Alligator mississippiensis: one gene and its partner. The protein of the gene in region 1 purifies or fractionates together with the protein of each later gene. This does not show direct contact. Links are inferred from orthologs where the notes say so. Each region holds a gene or a part of one and is shown in the gene's direction. Other genes may lie near its edges.

The links.
Region 2: the proteins of USP33 (region 1) and ROBO1 purify together in Homo sapiens (affinity purification with western blotting; 5 studies listed by BioGRID and IntAct, with this or other methods). This does not show direct contact. The link is inferred for Alligator mississippiensis from reciprocal best matches to the Homo sapiens genes USP33 and ROBO1.

Annotation. Positions count from the first base shown.
Region 1 is NC_081828.1:23,811,965-23,819,568, reverse strand, and holds the start of USP33 (ubiquitin carboxyl-terminal hydrolase 33), read left to right. Parts: upstream 1-4,343; 5' UTR 4,344-4,441; intron 4,442-4,507; exon of another isoform or gene 4,508-4,606; intron 4,607-5,183; 5' UTR 5,184-5,273; intron 5,274-7,604. Other genes in the region: MIGA1 (mitoguardin 1), read right to left, coding at 3,662-3,760. UniProt on the Homo sapiens protein: Deubiquitinating enzyme involved in various processes such as centrosome duplication, cellular migration and beta-2 adrenergic receptor/ADRB2 recycling.
Region 2 is NC_081824.1:275,560,921-275,568,348, forward strand, and holds the start of ROBO1 (roundabout homolog 1), read left to right. Parts: upstream 1-4,276; 5' UTR 4,277-4,403; coding exon 4,404-4,578; intron 4,579-7,428. UniProt on the Homo sapiens protein: Receptor for SLIT1 and SLIT2 that mediates cellular responses to molecular guidance cues in cellular migration, including axonal navigation at the ventral midline of the neural tube and projection of axons to different regions during neuronal development.

The DNA of each region.
Region 1 (7,604 bases):
CCCATACTCCTCATCCCATCCCCAATCCTGCCTGCTCATCCTGCTCCAGGCCTACCCACAGCCCCCATCTGCCTGACCAAGCATGCCACGAATGGCACATGCCCCCGGTGGCTGTGGGGACACGGCTGCCCTGGCGGCAGCAGGAGCGCAGTGACAGCGGTGGTAAGCTGGGAGCTCCCGTAGACGCTGACAACACTGTCCACCCACAGGTGCTCCCAGCAGCCAGGGGCAATCATGGACCACTCGCAGATGCCACTGGCAGTGTCGGTGGCAGGCTGGCGAGTGGCAACTGCCTGCAGGCAGGGGGTGCACTGTCATACTCAGGGGGTGCACGTGCACCCACGTGCACTCCCTACGCGTCGCCCCTGAAGCCTGCCCTGCCCATGTGGGTCTCAGGCCAACCTCCACAGCGACCCTGGGATCGCTGGGCAGCGAGAGCACAGGGCCGGGCTACAGGGCAAAGCCACAGAGAGTTTTGGTGAGCATTTGTGAGCAGTGGGAAGGGAAGAGTGTGTGTGGGAGTGTGGGGGGAATGTTGACCCAACCCATAACAGCACACCCAAACTCCCCCAGTGACCCTCCTGCCCAAATAATTACCCACTCCTAATCTAAACCAAAGCAGAGGATTTAGCTCAGGTATTAAAACATAAAATTTACTTTAATGCTTAAAAAAAAATTTTTTTTTAAAAATCACTCGCTGTAAAAACAGTAAAGATGCAGTAATACTGTACAAAAGATTAAATTAAGCAAAATATTACACCTAAGTTCATATTCATTTCATATAATTATAAATGCATTTACAAATGCATTTCAACCAAGTAGACACTACATTTCAGAGGTTTTAATAACTGCAACTAGATGTTCCGTGACTTTTTTTCCATCCCACTGGACATGCAGAAGATGGTAAACAAGTGAACAGACACACACTGGTATCTCCAGGGATGTATAATTAATCCCAGAGTTAATACAAGACTTGAGCGATGCAGGAGCTCTAGAAAAACCACTACAGCAATACAGAACACGCAATCAGTGAGCTCTTGGTAAGGAATTTATTTTTTCCATGTTGGAAAAATTCAAAGTCCTGGGGTAGTCACATGAGAGACAATAAGAATATTCACTCTTCTTAATATTTGTACTAAAACATGTATATGTATGTACACATTTATATTTATGTAATACGATAAAGATGTTTCGGGCAGCTTGTATTATTAAACATAAAATAGGGCTTTATCAATGCCACTGGCTTTGGACAGGCATTAAGATTTAATGCTTAGGGATCTGGGTTTTCTGTTTCCTGCAGAAAAATATGGATTTCCCCTTTGAAGGAGGAAACCACAGATTTTCCCTTTTGCAAACAGCTCTCTGCTGGTGGGCAGAGTTCCAGCCTGCAAGAGCTACCTGCAAAAGGTCAGGAAACCCTAAGCCCTGTCTGCAGAGGGTGGGGCAAAGCCTGAGAATCTGAGACCAGCCAGTGCTGGCTCAGACCGACTTTCTCTCCTGCAGCCGTTGGGGTAAGTAGAGCTTTTGAGGTCTGGGGGGTGGCTGGGGGCCCTGCAAAGAGGATTAAAATAGCAGAAGGGTCTATGTGTGTGTGCATATGTGATGGGCTGGGGGTGGCAACAGGGAAGGGTCTGCAAGAAAGGAAGATGGGGTGGGGAGGTGCTCCAGGTAAAAGTGGCCACTAGAACTGGGCCTGGAGACCCCCTGCCCTCCTAGAGCTGCCTGTGCAGAGGGAGACTATCATAGAAGAGAAGGGGCTTGTCCAGCCAGAGGCAGGCCCAGTCCAGTCCAGTCCCTGAGCCCTGTCAAGGGCTTCCCAGGAAGGTTATGGAGACCACTGGGCCCTGGGCCCACAGGGGAGCAGAAGAGCAAGGGCCAGCACTGCTCAGAGCCACAAAGCATCAGGCAGGATAGCTTCAGCTGGACCTGTGGCCTGGTGCAGTGGGGGCGCTGCTGCTGCCAGGAGGAAGCAAGTCGGGGGCAGTCAAGGGGTGCTGGTCAGGAGTGAGGGGCAACAGCAGGGGCAGAGCAACAGCAAATCAGTGATGCTCTGTGCCACAAAACAGCTGTGAGGACAGCTGCAGCTGGACCTGTGTCCTCCTGAGGGAAAGGGGCAGGAGGTGCTCCGATTTTCTATAATAAAAAATACCAAAATCAAATGCCAAAGTTTATAGGTATTTAGAATATATTTTATTATAATGACTGAGGCACTGGTAGGCTTCCACACTGCTTTAAACTGGTAAATATATCAATAAAACATTGTGTTCAGCAGATACCTATATATATAGTGGCATTCCATTTTAATGGCAGAAAAAACCATGGATTTGTGGGGTTTTAATCAGAGAATTTTGAATTTTTAAACGGAGAAAAACAGGATCCACATTAATGACTCAGTAACATCTTTCCTCTTAAAAAAGTGCCAGAGTCCTGATGACGGATCATATTTTGCTTAAAATCACACCTATCAGGATGGCTGCATGGATTAAATAAAGAACAAGCTCACAATCTCCCTCCTTATATTAACAGAAAAGTAGCATCTTTTTCAACACACTACAGCATAGAATGTGGACTTTTTCTGTCAATAAGAAATATGGAAGCAGTTTTCCCATTTCACAAAGCTTAGAGTTATTTAAGCAGGTTTGATTTCACTGTGTTGCTCAGAAACATGCCTAGTTATATCTGACTGAGAACTGCCTCCTCCTTTGGCTGTAGTCAAAGCAGAAATATTGATTCTCCACCCTAACTTTCTATTAAAGAATGTTCCAGGGACACGTTCCCCTGCAGACAGGGAGTGTCAGCTCCATGATGCTGCTCAGCTCTGAGTCTGGAAACTAAGAATACAATGGACTCTTTACTATTAAAGATAAATCATTCATTACCCACCAGTACTATTATTTACATACAGCAAATTAGCATATAAAACAGCAAGAAAATGGATGACAATAAATCAATGCTAAAACCATCTGCATAAAAGCCAAAAAAAGTGATTAACTAAAGCTTCGTTATGTTCAACTATAAGGGACTATTGACATAAAAAAAACCCACAACAGACTGGATTTAAACCAACCATCTCTCAGTACTATATCACTTATTGTAAATCAATCGAAAACACTGTCAGCTGGGTGAATCTTCACAATGATGCAGTAGTTCATCGAAACAAATACAGTCAAAAAAGAAAAAATATCTACAATCTGCAAAATATTTTGGAACATGCCCAATACGATTATTTGGGTTAATGACTTTTGCATTTAAACTTTTAAAGAAACTGACAAATTTGCCTGTGAAAAACAAAACTGAAGAGCATGATATTTGGTTTGATCAGAGGTACTACAATGCTGCAACGATTACTCTGCCACAAAGACCATGGGTTTGCAGAGAGAGTCGTTTCTGTTATCTGACATACAACTGACTTGAGGGAGTAGAAGGGAGAAAAACCAACAAAATAGTTTTGTCTCTCATGTGTGCGCATTGTGTGAGAACCGGAACAAAGATATTCCCGGGGGAAAATGTTTAATGAAGACGTAACCAAATATTATGCCCCCCAGGAGCTCAATCATTTAAAATACTGTAAAAAAAATAAATAAATAAAGTAACTGAAACTGTTTCCGATTCATGGATGAAAACGCCAGGAATGAGGATAACGCAATATTTCGATCGTTACCTGGATGAGAGAATAATACCAGGAAAGGGGAAGATGAAACACTCGTAAAGCTGCTGTCTTCAGAGAAAAGTGCGTCTCACTAACTGCTTCTTCGGACATGGCTCTCTCTCTCCCATAACCTCGTTAAGCGAAACTACCTCGAGGCCGCATCAGTCACAACCTGCCACTGGCATCTCCTGTCAAATGAAAGCGATGTGCTCAATTACACCTCCCCCGGCCTTTTCTCTGCAGGCTGTCAAAGCCCGGGGTTACAGAGGGCGCAGAGGCGGGCCGGCATCCTCCTCCCTCGCCTCTACCGAGAAGCTGAGCAGGGCGCGGCAGGTTTCGGCCCGTCCTCCAGCCCGCTCGGCCCTTGGCAGGGGGCAGCACTGGACATCGGGGGGAGCAACAGCGGCCTGCAGGGAAGGATTTGCAAGGAGAGGCAGGGAGCGACTCGCAGCAGGAGGCGCTCGCTTGCTCCCTGCCACAGAGGCGGGGACGGCGGGGGCTGCTCGGCCCCGCGGGGGAGGGGACCGCGCGCCTCCTCTAGGCTGCGCCCCTGCTTACCTACCGGGCCCCGCGAGCAGCAGCGGCCCTTTGCAGCCCCGGCCCCAGTCCCGCCCCCGCGACGGCTGCTAGGAGACAGCGGCGCATCCGCTTCCGGGGTCAACGCGAAGCCAGGCGGAGGGGCTAGCCCTGAATGTGGACCCGCGCCGCCGCCATCTTTGTGCGGGACAACCCTGAGCCCTGCCCACGCGAAGCCCCGGGGCAAGCTGCCCGCTGCCGCCATCTTGGTGAGGGGTAGGTTGGGGGGGAGGCTCCCCTCCGCCATCTTTGTGCGGGGCGCCCCCACGTGTGTCCGTGGGGCGAAGAGGGAGGTACGCCTCTGCGCCGCCATCTTTGTGCGGGGCGCGCTCGCCGGCTGGGGCAGAGAACGGTGGGAGCGGAAGGCGCCCGGCGGCCCAGGTGCGGTGGGATCCTGGGCTCGGTCTGCTCTGCCGCCCAGCTCTGAAGGCAGGAGCCGGAGGGACCCAAGGGGCGGCGTCGTGGCGCCTGCGGGCTGCCCTCTTGCCTGGCTTCGCTCCTCTGAGGAGGGGAAAGGCCGGGTCGAACGGGGCCCGCGGCGGGGCGAGCGCCTCTAGCCAGGGCTGCGTTGCAGGCTTCGTTTCGGAGCCTGGGCCGGTGCCCCGCGGGGGCGCGTCTCGGGTGGGGAGGATCCTGCCTCAGGGAGGGGGTGGACTAGCCCGGGGTTGCTGAGCCGGGACAGGGGCGGCCGCCCCGTGCGGCCCGGGAGACTGTTCTCTGCGGGGTAGGTGACACGACAAGGAGCCGTCGGCTCAAGTTGCAGCAAGGGACGTTTAGGTTGGATATTAGGCAAGATTTCCTCACTAGGAGGGTGGAGAAGCTGCTCAGAGAGGTGGTGGTAACGCCATCCTTGGAGGTTTTTAAGACAAAGCCCTGGCTGGGATGATGTGGTGCTGCTGTGAGCAGCGGTTGGACTAGAGGTGACCTCCTGCGGGCCCTTCCTCCTCTGATCTCCTAGGATTCGGTGACCCCTGGACGTCCCTTCCAGCCCAACTTCCCTGTGCTCCTGCGAGTACCCTGGCAGGACTTCTCAAGCGCTCCCATTTTTGTAAGCATTGATTTTGCATCATTTGTCATGTATTTGTATTATTTGTTATTTTGTATGACTTGTTACTGATTTTGGAGCTGCCCAAGTATACGCATCTGAAAATTAAAATATTGAAGATTTTCTGAAGCCCCTCAGCCTACTGGATGCACAACTTCTGTATGGCTGTACATTGAATGAAGTTTGTTTTAAAGTGCAGTGGTTGCTGGAAGATGCAGAACTTCTTGATTTCCTTTTTTAAAATTTGTTTTTGTGTCTAAATCTTCCTATAATATAAGCTTGCAGTCACAGAGTCTGATTTGGGGGAATGAGAATTTGAAATAAAGTACTCTTACTTCGTTGCATAGTCTTGGAAATAATTGCAGATACAAATCAAAGCCCAGAACCTGTAACTTTCTCTGGGTAGGCAAGTGTTCATGGAGTCAGGACCTAATTTGATCGTATTTAGTACTTCCCAGAGTTCAAAGCAATGTCTTTTAAAAATTTTATCTTTGTTGTCATTGATTACAGCGTGTGAAGATTTCAAGATTAGCATATAATGCTATATAAAACAATTACCTGTATTGTTAGCAAACATTATTAATTCTGTAAACTACACTGAAAAATTGTACCAAGATTCCGATGTAGTTTCTCATGATTTGGTTTCTGTGTTTTTAATAGAAATGACGAGGCCATGACAGAAGCACTCATGGCATAGCCTGCCATAAATGCACAAAAAAGGAAGGAATTGTAATGCCAGTATATTTAGGAGCCTTACAAAACTGATATAGTTGGATTCCATTCATGTATACATGCTAGAGATGTAAATAGTGTTAAAAAAAATTATCCATGTAACCATCTCTAATTATATCGGTTAAACAGTTAATCAATAATGCATGCCTAGTGCCGGCTGAAGGGTGCAGAGCCCTGGGCCAGGGCCTGCCCCGCCCTGCCACAGGGGAGATGTTGCAGTCACCTGCCCGGAGAAACATGGGGAGCCAGGGGCTAGTGCTGGGAACCACTCCCTAGGGCCTTTGACTGAGTTGGGGGGAGCTGGCACCAAGCCCCGCCAGATAATTCAGCCCACCATGAAGCCAGGGGTGGCAGCAGCCAGCTTTCCCAGCCCGCTGCAGCCACTTTTTTTATTTAGCATTTGATGATACAGGGATCACAAAGCAAGGAGAAACATATTCACAATTTTATGTCCAAATTTTGCAGCTAGCTCATTGCCTTAGGTGTAGTATTGTTCAGATCCAATAGAGTTCCATTAAGTGTATGAAGAGAGCATTCAGGGGTGATATGATTCAAAGTTTGAAAGGGGGCACCACAGCTGCAGTTCTGTGAGCTAGTCCAGCCCCACCATTGTTACAGAAATACACATTTGCTGTGTCCTGTCCTGATTCTGTTTAGAGAAGACCAAAGACGTCTAGGGAGATCAAAGCTGGTTTGTCTGATAGTGGGATTTGTAGTAATATTTTCTGTGTTAGGGGATGAATTGAGCCACATTTGCATCCAGGCATCTTGGATGTTAAATGAATCTTGCTCAAGTTGAATTGCTGTTCTCCTGTTGGGATGTCTAGATTTTAGTCTTGGACGTGGGTTTAAGAAATCTTTTGTATAGGCAGCTGTGGGTTATTTTTTATTTTAGTTCATAATTTAGTTAAGGCATTTTTTTCTTCATGAGAGAAGATGTAGGTTACTAAGAATAGGGAGCTGTTGAAGAGGGGTAGATCAAATTGTTTCTGTAATGATTCAGTCTGTTATATGTCACTGTCAAACTTATCAGTGTGAGCACTTTAACCAAATTGGACCACAGTATTCCACCGAAGAGTAAACCAGCACTTAGGCTGTTGTCCTCAGTGCATCAGCATCAGCTCCCCAGGAAGTCCCAGTGAGTTTCTGGAGCAAATTATTACAAGTTTTTTAACTTAGCTGCTGTCATAGTTAAGTGATTTTTATAGCACAGTGTTCTATCTAGGATGATTCCTAAATATTTAGGAGTACTCTTATAACTTAAGAGCTGACTTTTAAAACAATAATGGGTTGCTAATTAGCTTGTTTATTGTTCAAGTGAAATGTAGATGCTTTTGTTTTCCCAGGGCTTGGGTGCAGATGCCATTATTTAAAGTAGGTTTCTAAAGTATTCAGATCTGTTGTGAGTATTACTTCTGCTCTGGAGAAACAAGATTGTTGTGTAATGAGGGCTGTGTCATCAGCCTGTATGACGTTTCTTGAGAAGGTGCCTGGAGGTCATGAATGTAAAAATTAAACAGCAAAGGTGCAAGAACTGATCCCCTTGGGAGGTTGTTGTTCAATTTATCTGGCCTACTCTTAATGTTATCAGAAAAAAATCTG
Region 2 (7,428 bases), on another chromosome or scaffold:
AAATCGAATCACTGTCCCTGAATTAGGTCAAATCCAAATCTGAATTGAATAGGGCCAGCTTTGCACACCCCTAATATATACTTTCTATTCTTATGCAATTACTGCATATCTATCTATCTATCTATCTATCTATCTATCTATCTATCTATCTATCTATCTATCTATCTGATATAGATATTGATATAGTTTGATATAGTTATAGGTGATAGACACACACTTGAAATCACACCTTACATGAGCAGTGTTAAGAAAACAATATTTTTATCAAAAAATTACACAGAATCTAAGATTCATGTAAAAACTAAGTTATAGCTGAATATTATTTTACAAATATGTGTAAACACCTAAATTCCTAAATGAAAAATACATTATTTGTATACAAAGGGTTGTCTCATACTAGGTTTGCAGGTTTGATTTTCCTGATTCATGTGACTGACTTAAAAGTATGTTTCAGCATAAGAAGAATGAATCTAATATAGATTCATAACTGCCTTATTTAACATGCCTTAAGAAGAACAATTGTTGTACCTTTATAGTTATGTTTTCTTCTTGTGAAGATTGGGACTACTGAGGCTAGATATTAAGAAAATAACTTCATAAATATAAAGTTAGTTGAGCAATGTAACAGATTACCTAGGGAGGTAGCAAAATCCCAAGCAGTAGTGCTCTTTAATATCAGGGCAGACAAATGTATCTGGCAGGCATACTGGTCTTGGTCTGGGTTCTCTGATACTGCCTCAGAGCAGAGGGTTGGAATATATGACCTGTAGAGGTCCTTTTGAGCCCTGCATGAACTTAAGATTCTACTTATCTCAAGGCTTCTGCAGCTAATGCACTGAATTCCTCGTATCTCAACAATAAGAGCTTTCAACCGTGTAGACTCTTCTATCATGTTTTAATCCTAGGGAAGAGCTGTGCTAATATGGCTTTTGTTTTATTATGTGTGAAATGATGGTTGCTGAAAATTGATTTTGGCTAAGCACACTTGTTACACAGGTAAACATCCATGTAAATTCCTGAAGAATTTAAGATGGACAATGAATTCCTGCAGGGTTTTTGGTTGTAGCCATGTTGGTCTAAGGACATAGGCAGGCAAGCTTTTTTAAGTAGATGTGATATCTTTTATTAGACCAACTGAGTAGTTAGAACAAAGTTCTTAGCAAGTTTGTGGTTGCCTGAAAGAACTTTGTTCCATCTTCTCAGCTGGTCTAATAAAAGATATCACATCTACAATGAATTCCTTATTTTTCTCTGAAAATAAAGGGGTAATTGGTGTTAAATGTCACATAAGGCTATTTTTATAACCTTGGTATTAGTCGTGTAGTTTTTGCTCAGTTTCTTAATTCTTAACAGAAAGCTTTGGGAATTGAGTTTTTGCTGGAAATGTCCTTGGTAGTCCTTGGTTTTTCACTGTTAAACCAAGTTTCTTGTTAATAGCTACAGATTTCAGGAGATTTAGTAGTGTATCTGGTGCAATGGATAGGGTTTTTAATTATTATTTTTATTTTTAAAATGTTTTACTTAGAGCCATTTTAATATTATCTGTGTTAAAAATGGAAGCTTTTGTGCTCTAAACTTGATTGATGGAGTCAAAGTGTGGATAAACTTTGATTGATTTGGGTCTGTCACCATGCACAAGCTTGAGTGATTAATGGAGATTGGGATTATTAAAACCTGACTGGCAGATGATAAGGTAGTTGTACATAAATCTTTCTATGCCAGAAACAAAACTTTTCTCTTAGGTTTTATCCTGCAATAAAGCACTAATTTGCAATGAATGACTCAAAAGGCATTCTCATCTGCAACTAAACTTCTGCCTGCACCTCATCCAAACCCAAAGCCTTAAATAAGCATGAATAAAGCCTAGAAGTTAGTGCACAGGAACACAATACCTAACAGAAATCCATGAAAGCAAGGATGATGAGTTGAGCTATGGAAGAACTGGCTTGTCAGCACACAGGATACCATTATCACACTTACTATGAACTGCAGCCTTAATGGTACTCTGTTATGGATGCTGGCCTAACATCATCTGCCCAGGAAAAACTGTCCTAAGTACTTCTCTACATTCATTCCTCTTAGATAAGTCCAAGCTATCAAGTACCAATCTATTACTGCATTGGGGGGTGAACAACCTTTTTGTGTGCCACAAATTAACTCTGCACCTACCTAAATGCCACTCCAATCCCCTTCCCCTGTGGATCTGCCACTCTGCTTTCTGCTCCCTGCCTGATCTGCTGCATTGATCTTTGTTCCTTGTTTGATCTGCTGCTTTGCTTTCTGCTTCTTTCCCTGTGCTCTCAGCCTGATTTGCTGCTTGGCTTTGTATTCTGCCCAATCTGCAGCTGTACTTCTTGTCCCCTCCCCAGTATGCCACATGCCACAGGCAGCAGCTGTCCATGCCACTGGGGCATGCATACCACAGGTTGGCCACTACATCAGGCATTCACAACAGCTGTCCAGGAAAGAGCTGTATGAAAAAAGTGATAGTGGGAGTGGACTTAAAGTTGCCATGCAAGTTCTGTAGTTTGTTGAAGTTGTGATGATGGTTGGTGTGGAGTAAAAAATTGTTTGCCCCATGTCTTGCAACTTATACATTAGAATTTCCCTCTCAAAGTACGTTCTCTTTCAATTTCCTTTCTTGCTTTTGAACTTTTGGGATTTACTGGGGTCCCGCTTTTCTAAGCTTTTCTCTGCAGTGATGCCAGAAACGTCCTTTCCCCTCCCCTTTAATGAAGGGATAAGCCTCCCTTTTAATATAACATCTACTTAAAGCTGCAGGAAGGAGGGCTTTAATAAAGGACCTGATGCCCAGGAAACATTGGCACCCCTATGGCTAGTAGTTGTGTCTTCAGCCCCTGATTTGTGTGCATTTGCCAGGCACTTTTGGGTATGTGGCAGCTGCATACTCTTTGGCATACTTCTTATTCATGTGTAAAGGCATCAGCGCGATAGATGCTTTGAATACAGCTGTAGGACTGGAGAGAGTGAGAGAGAGAGAGAGAGAGTGGCAGCTTCATACATTTTGGGTTACTTATTCACATGTAAGGGCATTGGTATGATAAATGCTTTGAACATGGCTGCAGGGCTCCAAAGAGTGAGTCAGTGACTGCGTGTGTGCGTGTGGGAGTGTGGCAGCTTTGTATTTTTCGTTACTTATTATTAACATGTAAGGACATCAATGTGCTGAAAGCTTTGCACAGAGCTCTAGGGCTCCAAAGCATGAAAGAGAGAGAGAGAGAGAGAGAGAGTGTGTGTGAAAACCAGGTCCTGTACCAGCCTCACAAAGCTCCAGCTCATTACTCTGGCATAGTAACTACTTTCCTTATTGCCTCTAATTCATTGCCTCCTTTTTAAAGAATGAAAGAGGCTGTTTTCATAACCTTGGCAGTGGTTGGCAGCATTGCCACTGGTCACTTGCTTTCTCAGTCCCTGGCTTTGTGCATGCATGCCAGGCACCTTTGGGTGCATGGCAGCTTCGTCTGTGTGAGTTACTTATGATTTTTAGTACTTCCTATTTGCTTGTAAGAGCAGTGGTGTGACAGATGGTTGGGACACAGTTGTAGGGCTCCAGAGAGTGCGAGACTGCGTGCCTGTGTAAAAGAAAGGGAGAGGGGGGCAACTTCCTACTCTTTGGGTTACTTACTATTAATGTGTAAGAACATCAGCGTGATAGATGCTTTGAATACAGCTGTATACAGCTCCAGAGAGAGAGGAAGTGTGTGTCATGAGGTCCTCTGCCAGTGCTGTCCTGCTCCAGCTTCCGTGTGTGACTGTGAGTGTGAGAGAGCGAGAGATCTAGTCCAGGTCCTCTGCCAGTGCTGTACTGCTCCAGTATGTGTGTCTGTGTGTGTGTCTATGTGTGCGTGTTCCTCTACAGTGTGTGTGCGTGTGTGTCCTGCTCCAGTGTGTCCCACTACAGTGTATGTGCGTGTGCGCACCAGTGCTGTCCAGCTTGTGTGTACGCGCCTGCTCGTGCTGCCCCGCTCCCCCCGCAACTACATCCCTTTTAGTCCCTGCCTAGTCCCGCAAGACTCTCAGGGGCTGCCGCAACCCCCCGCCTTCGCCCCGCTGCCCCCGTGCGGTGCCGCCACCCCGGGCTGTTCGCCTTCCCCAGGGGTCCGGAGAGGAGAGAGGCGCGGCTCCTTTAAAGCATCCCGAGGCGGCGGCGGGGCGGGGCTGAGGGGGCGGGGCCGGCGCGGAGCGGGCGCTCGCGAGCGACTCCGCGTGACACCGCCGAGTCGGGGCGCTGCAGCCACCGCGACCGCCGCCGCGTCCTGCACGCCCGCCCGCCCGCCCGCTTGCGCCCCTGGCCCGGGCCATGCTGCGCGCCGCGCGCCGCTGCCGGCAGCGGGACCGGGGCCGCCCCCGCCCCGCCGGCGCGTCCTGAGCCGCAGCCGCGGATGCCCCTCGGCCCCCGCACTGCAGCTCCGGGCGCCCGGGCCGGCGGCGGCGGCGCGGGGCTGCGGGCGTCGGCTCCCCCCTGGCATGAGCCGGGGCTGCGCGGCCGCCGCCTGGGGACAATGGTCGCGGAGTTTGCCCGCTTCTACCTCCTCGGCTGCGTCTGGCTCTGCGCAGGTAAGCGCCGGCGCCTGCCCTGTCCTGCCCCCGCTCCCCGCCTCGGCTCGTCTTTGCCTGAAGTTTCACGGGCTCGTCTACGCGCGGGTTGGGCGGGGGGCGGCTTTCCGCCCCGAGTCTGTGCGGGCTGCTCTGGGGTTTGGAGCAGGAGTGCTGGGCGGCACGCGGGGACACACGCAGACAGGAACACGCACATGGACAATCGCACCCACAGGCGCACATAAAGGGACGTACAGGGGCACACACACACACGGACAGTCACAGCACACAGACGCACATAGGGGCAAGGGGCTTCGGCAAGCTCAGGATCTCTCATTGCACGGAGGACTCTTCTCCCTCCCAGCCCGTGAACAAGGAGCTGCTCAGAGTTTCCTTGTGGGCTCAAAGGCTTGTCGCTGAAACTGAGTAGGGAGAAGTGTCAGGAAATAACAACCTTTTTCTTCTGTAGGTTCTGCTGGGTTGGATCGGGTGTCTATGTGTGTCTCTGTACTGGGGGGCAGGTGGTGGAGAGAGAAGATTACATGAATGGGTTGGTTTTCCCCAGCAAACTTCCAGCCCCTTGATTTATGAAGGCTTCTCCTTTTCTTTTTTTCTTTTTTTAAAAGAAGATACTCTTTCCCCCTCTGGGCTCTTATGTCTCAGCGGTGCTACCCCCCTGCCTCATTACAGGAGATGCTTACTTGCCACCTAAATGCAGCTGGGTGACTTCTTGCTTTCTAGCCAGTTTAGCTTAACCCCTCCTTTCAGCCACACAGCTTTCCTTCACCCCCCTCCTCCTCTTTCCCCTTCTCTTGCTTTAAGAAGTTGTAGGTGCCGCTCTGGAGCACAGCCACAGCTGCTGAGTCTTAGGCAAGTTACAGGATCCAGTTCCCGCGCTGGGGGGGGGGGGGGGATTTGTGACTGAGATCCTGGTAGTGTGAGAGTGATGTTGTAGCCATGGTGGCCCAGTAATTATGTGAGAGGTGACGGTTTCTTAGGGGGATCACTTTTGTTGGATCATCTGTGCCCTTGGGATAAAGTTAGACAAGCCTTCCAATGCAAGATGTTCTTTCTCAGATCTCTAGATATAGGAAGCCAGTCACTGCAGGCTGGGATCATGGCATACGTGTCAAAGTCCTTTAGTCCTGATTAAAGAATGCCCTTACCTCCTGGCAAACCCCTGACATTGAGCCAGCCCAAGGCACTCTGCATCTTCCCAGGAGCACTCCAGGGAAGCCCCCAGGAGTCCAGGACTAGTGGGGCAACCGGATGTAGCTGGAAAGGAGTTGGGACTGGTGAATGGGTTAAAGTGTAAAGGCCTGCTTTGTTCTTCCCTCGGTGCACCCCTTGGCTAATGTAGCCATCTCAACAGTTTGCATGTCTGGTTGATTGAGTGCTTTTTGCCACCAAGCGGGATGCAAATCAAGAACAAATCGTTCCCCCCTGCCTTCCCCCTCTTCCCCCCCCCCAGCCCACTCCCAGTCCTCAGCTTTAATTTATAGTCCCAGATTGCTTTGAGATGATTTTTGATTCACCTTCTCTGTTAAAGTTTATTCACGTGTGTAAAGTGAAGTGTCAGTGTGATAAATGGAGGAAGGAGCGATCACGGAAGAGATAGGGGGATTAATGGTCATTAGTCACTGTTTGAGCTGGGTTTATGTGTGTTGGGGCATCTTATCATGCCTGTAGATTAAAGATAGGGTCATACTAACAGGGTATTGTTGACAGCAGATTTAGTTCCCTTGCAAATCCTCCACCTTTGAGAGTACCCCATCAAACTGTTGTTGGAGAATGTATTTTTTGTGTAAATATGTGTGCATACATATAAAATATATGTATATGTGTATGTATACATATAGTTATATATGTATATGTGTGTGTGTGTGTATAGAGAGAGAGAGATGTATGTATTGTATTTATATAAAAACTCTTTGGACATAATTACTTTTAACTGTATATATCCCTCTGGGCTTTTATGATGATATCCAGCTAAAATAGTATTTGTTTCTCACTCTGGATTATTCAGGGTTTTTTATTTTTTAACTTTAAACGTACATTTATTTATTTCCTATTGTTTCCTTTTGTTCTTGCTAGACTTTCCTATTGTTCTTGTTAGCTGGCAGACTAGACTTGTCTGCTTGCAGTTTTCCTTCACGTTTAACTTCCAGCTGCTTGTATCTTGCATAAAACTATGAACGTGAAAGTACAACATGTAATGCAGCCAATTTAGCCAAACCTTGTCTTGTAGGTCTGATAGGCACTAAACGTGAATAAGTAGCAGGTTTCCTTAATTGATTTTTATAAAATTGTGGAGGACTCGGATGAGTAATTAAAGTTCAGTGATTAAATTAAGTTTCTGAAAGACTTAAATACACCGTACCTGAAGCACTAAATCTTAAGTGCTACTGAATGTAACGTTTTATATGATAACATGATTATTGATAGATTGTATGCTGAACTTCACTGTAAGTGATCTTATGTACTTTGTTTGGCCTACTTTTATGGATTCTCCTTTCAAAGACAGTAATTGTCACACTGCTGTTGGTCATGTATTGGTTACGATGTCTGTAGTTTGGCTTGTTATGGTTTTCTTTGTATATGTTACATTTGTTATCAGGTATAATGAAGACTTGGAATATTTTTTTGTGCTTCTCAATAGTTTTTTCTGTTTATATCTTCTCTACCAGTCTTCTGTCTCAGGAAAGTTGCCTTGCCTATAAATTGTCAAATTGGGACTGTACCTGAGTTCACCCTTTGTTCTAAGTTAAGTGAACAAAGTTTCTGCCTAGTTTTTGCCCCGTGTTTCTCTTCTCATTCCCAGAATACCTTGCTGGTGTTACTAGGAGCAACAGAATGAAATCAACACATGTT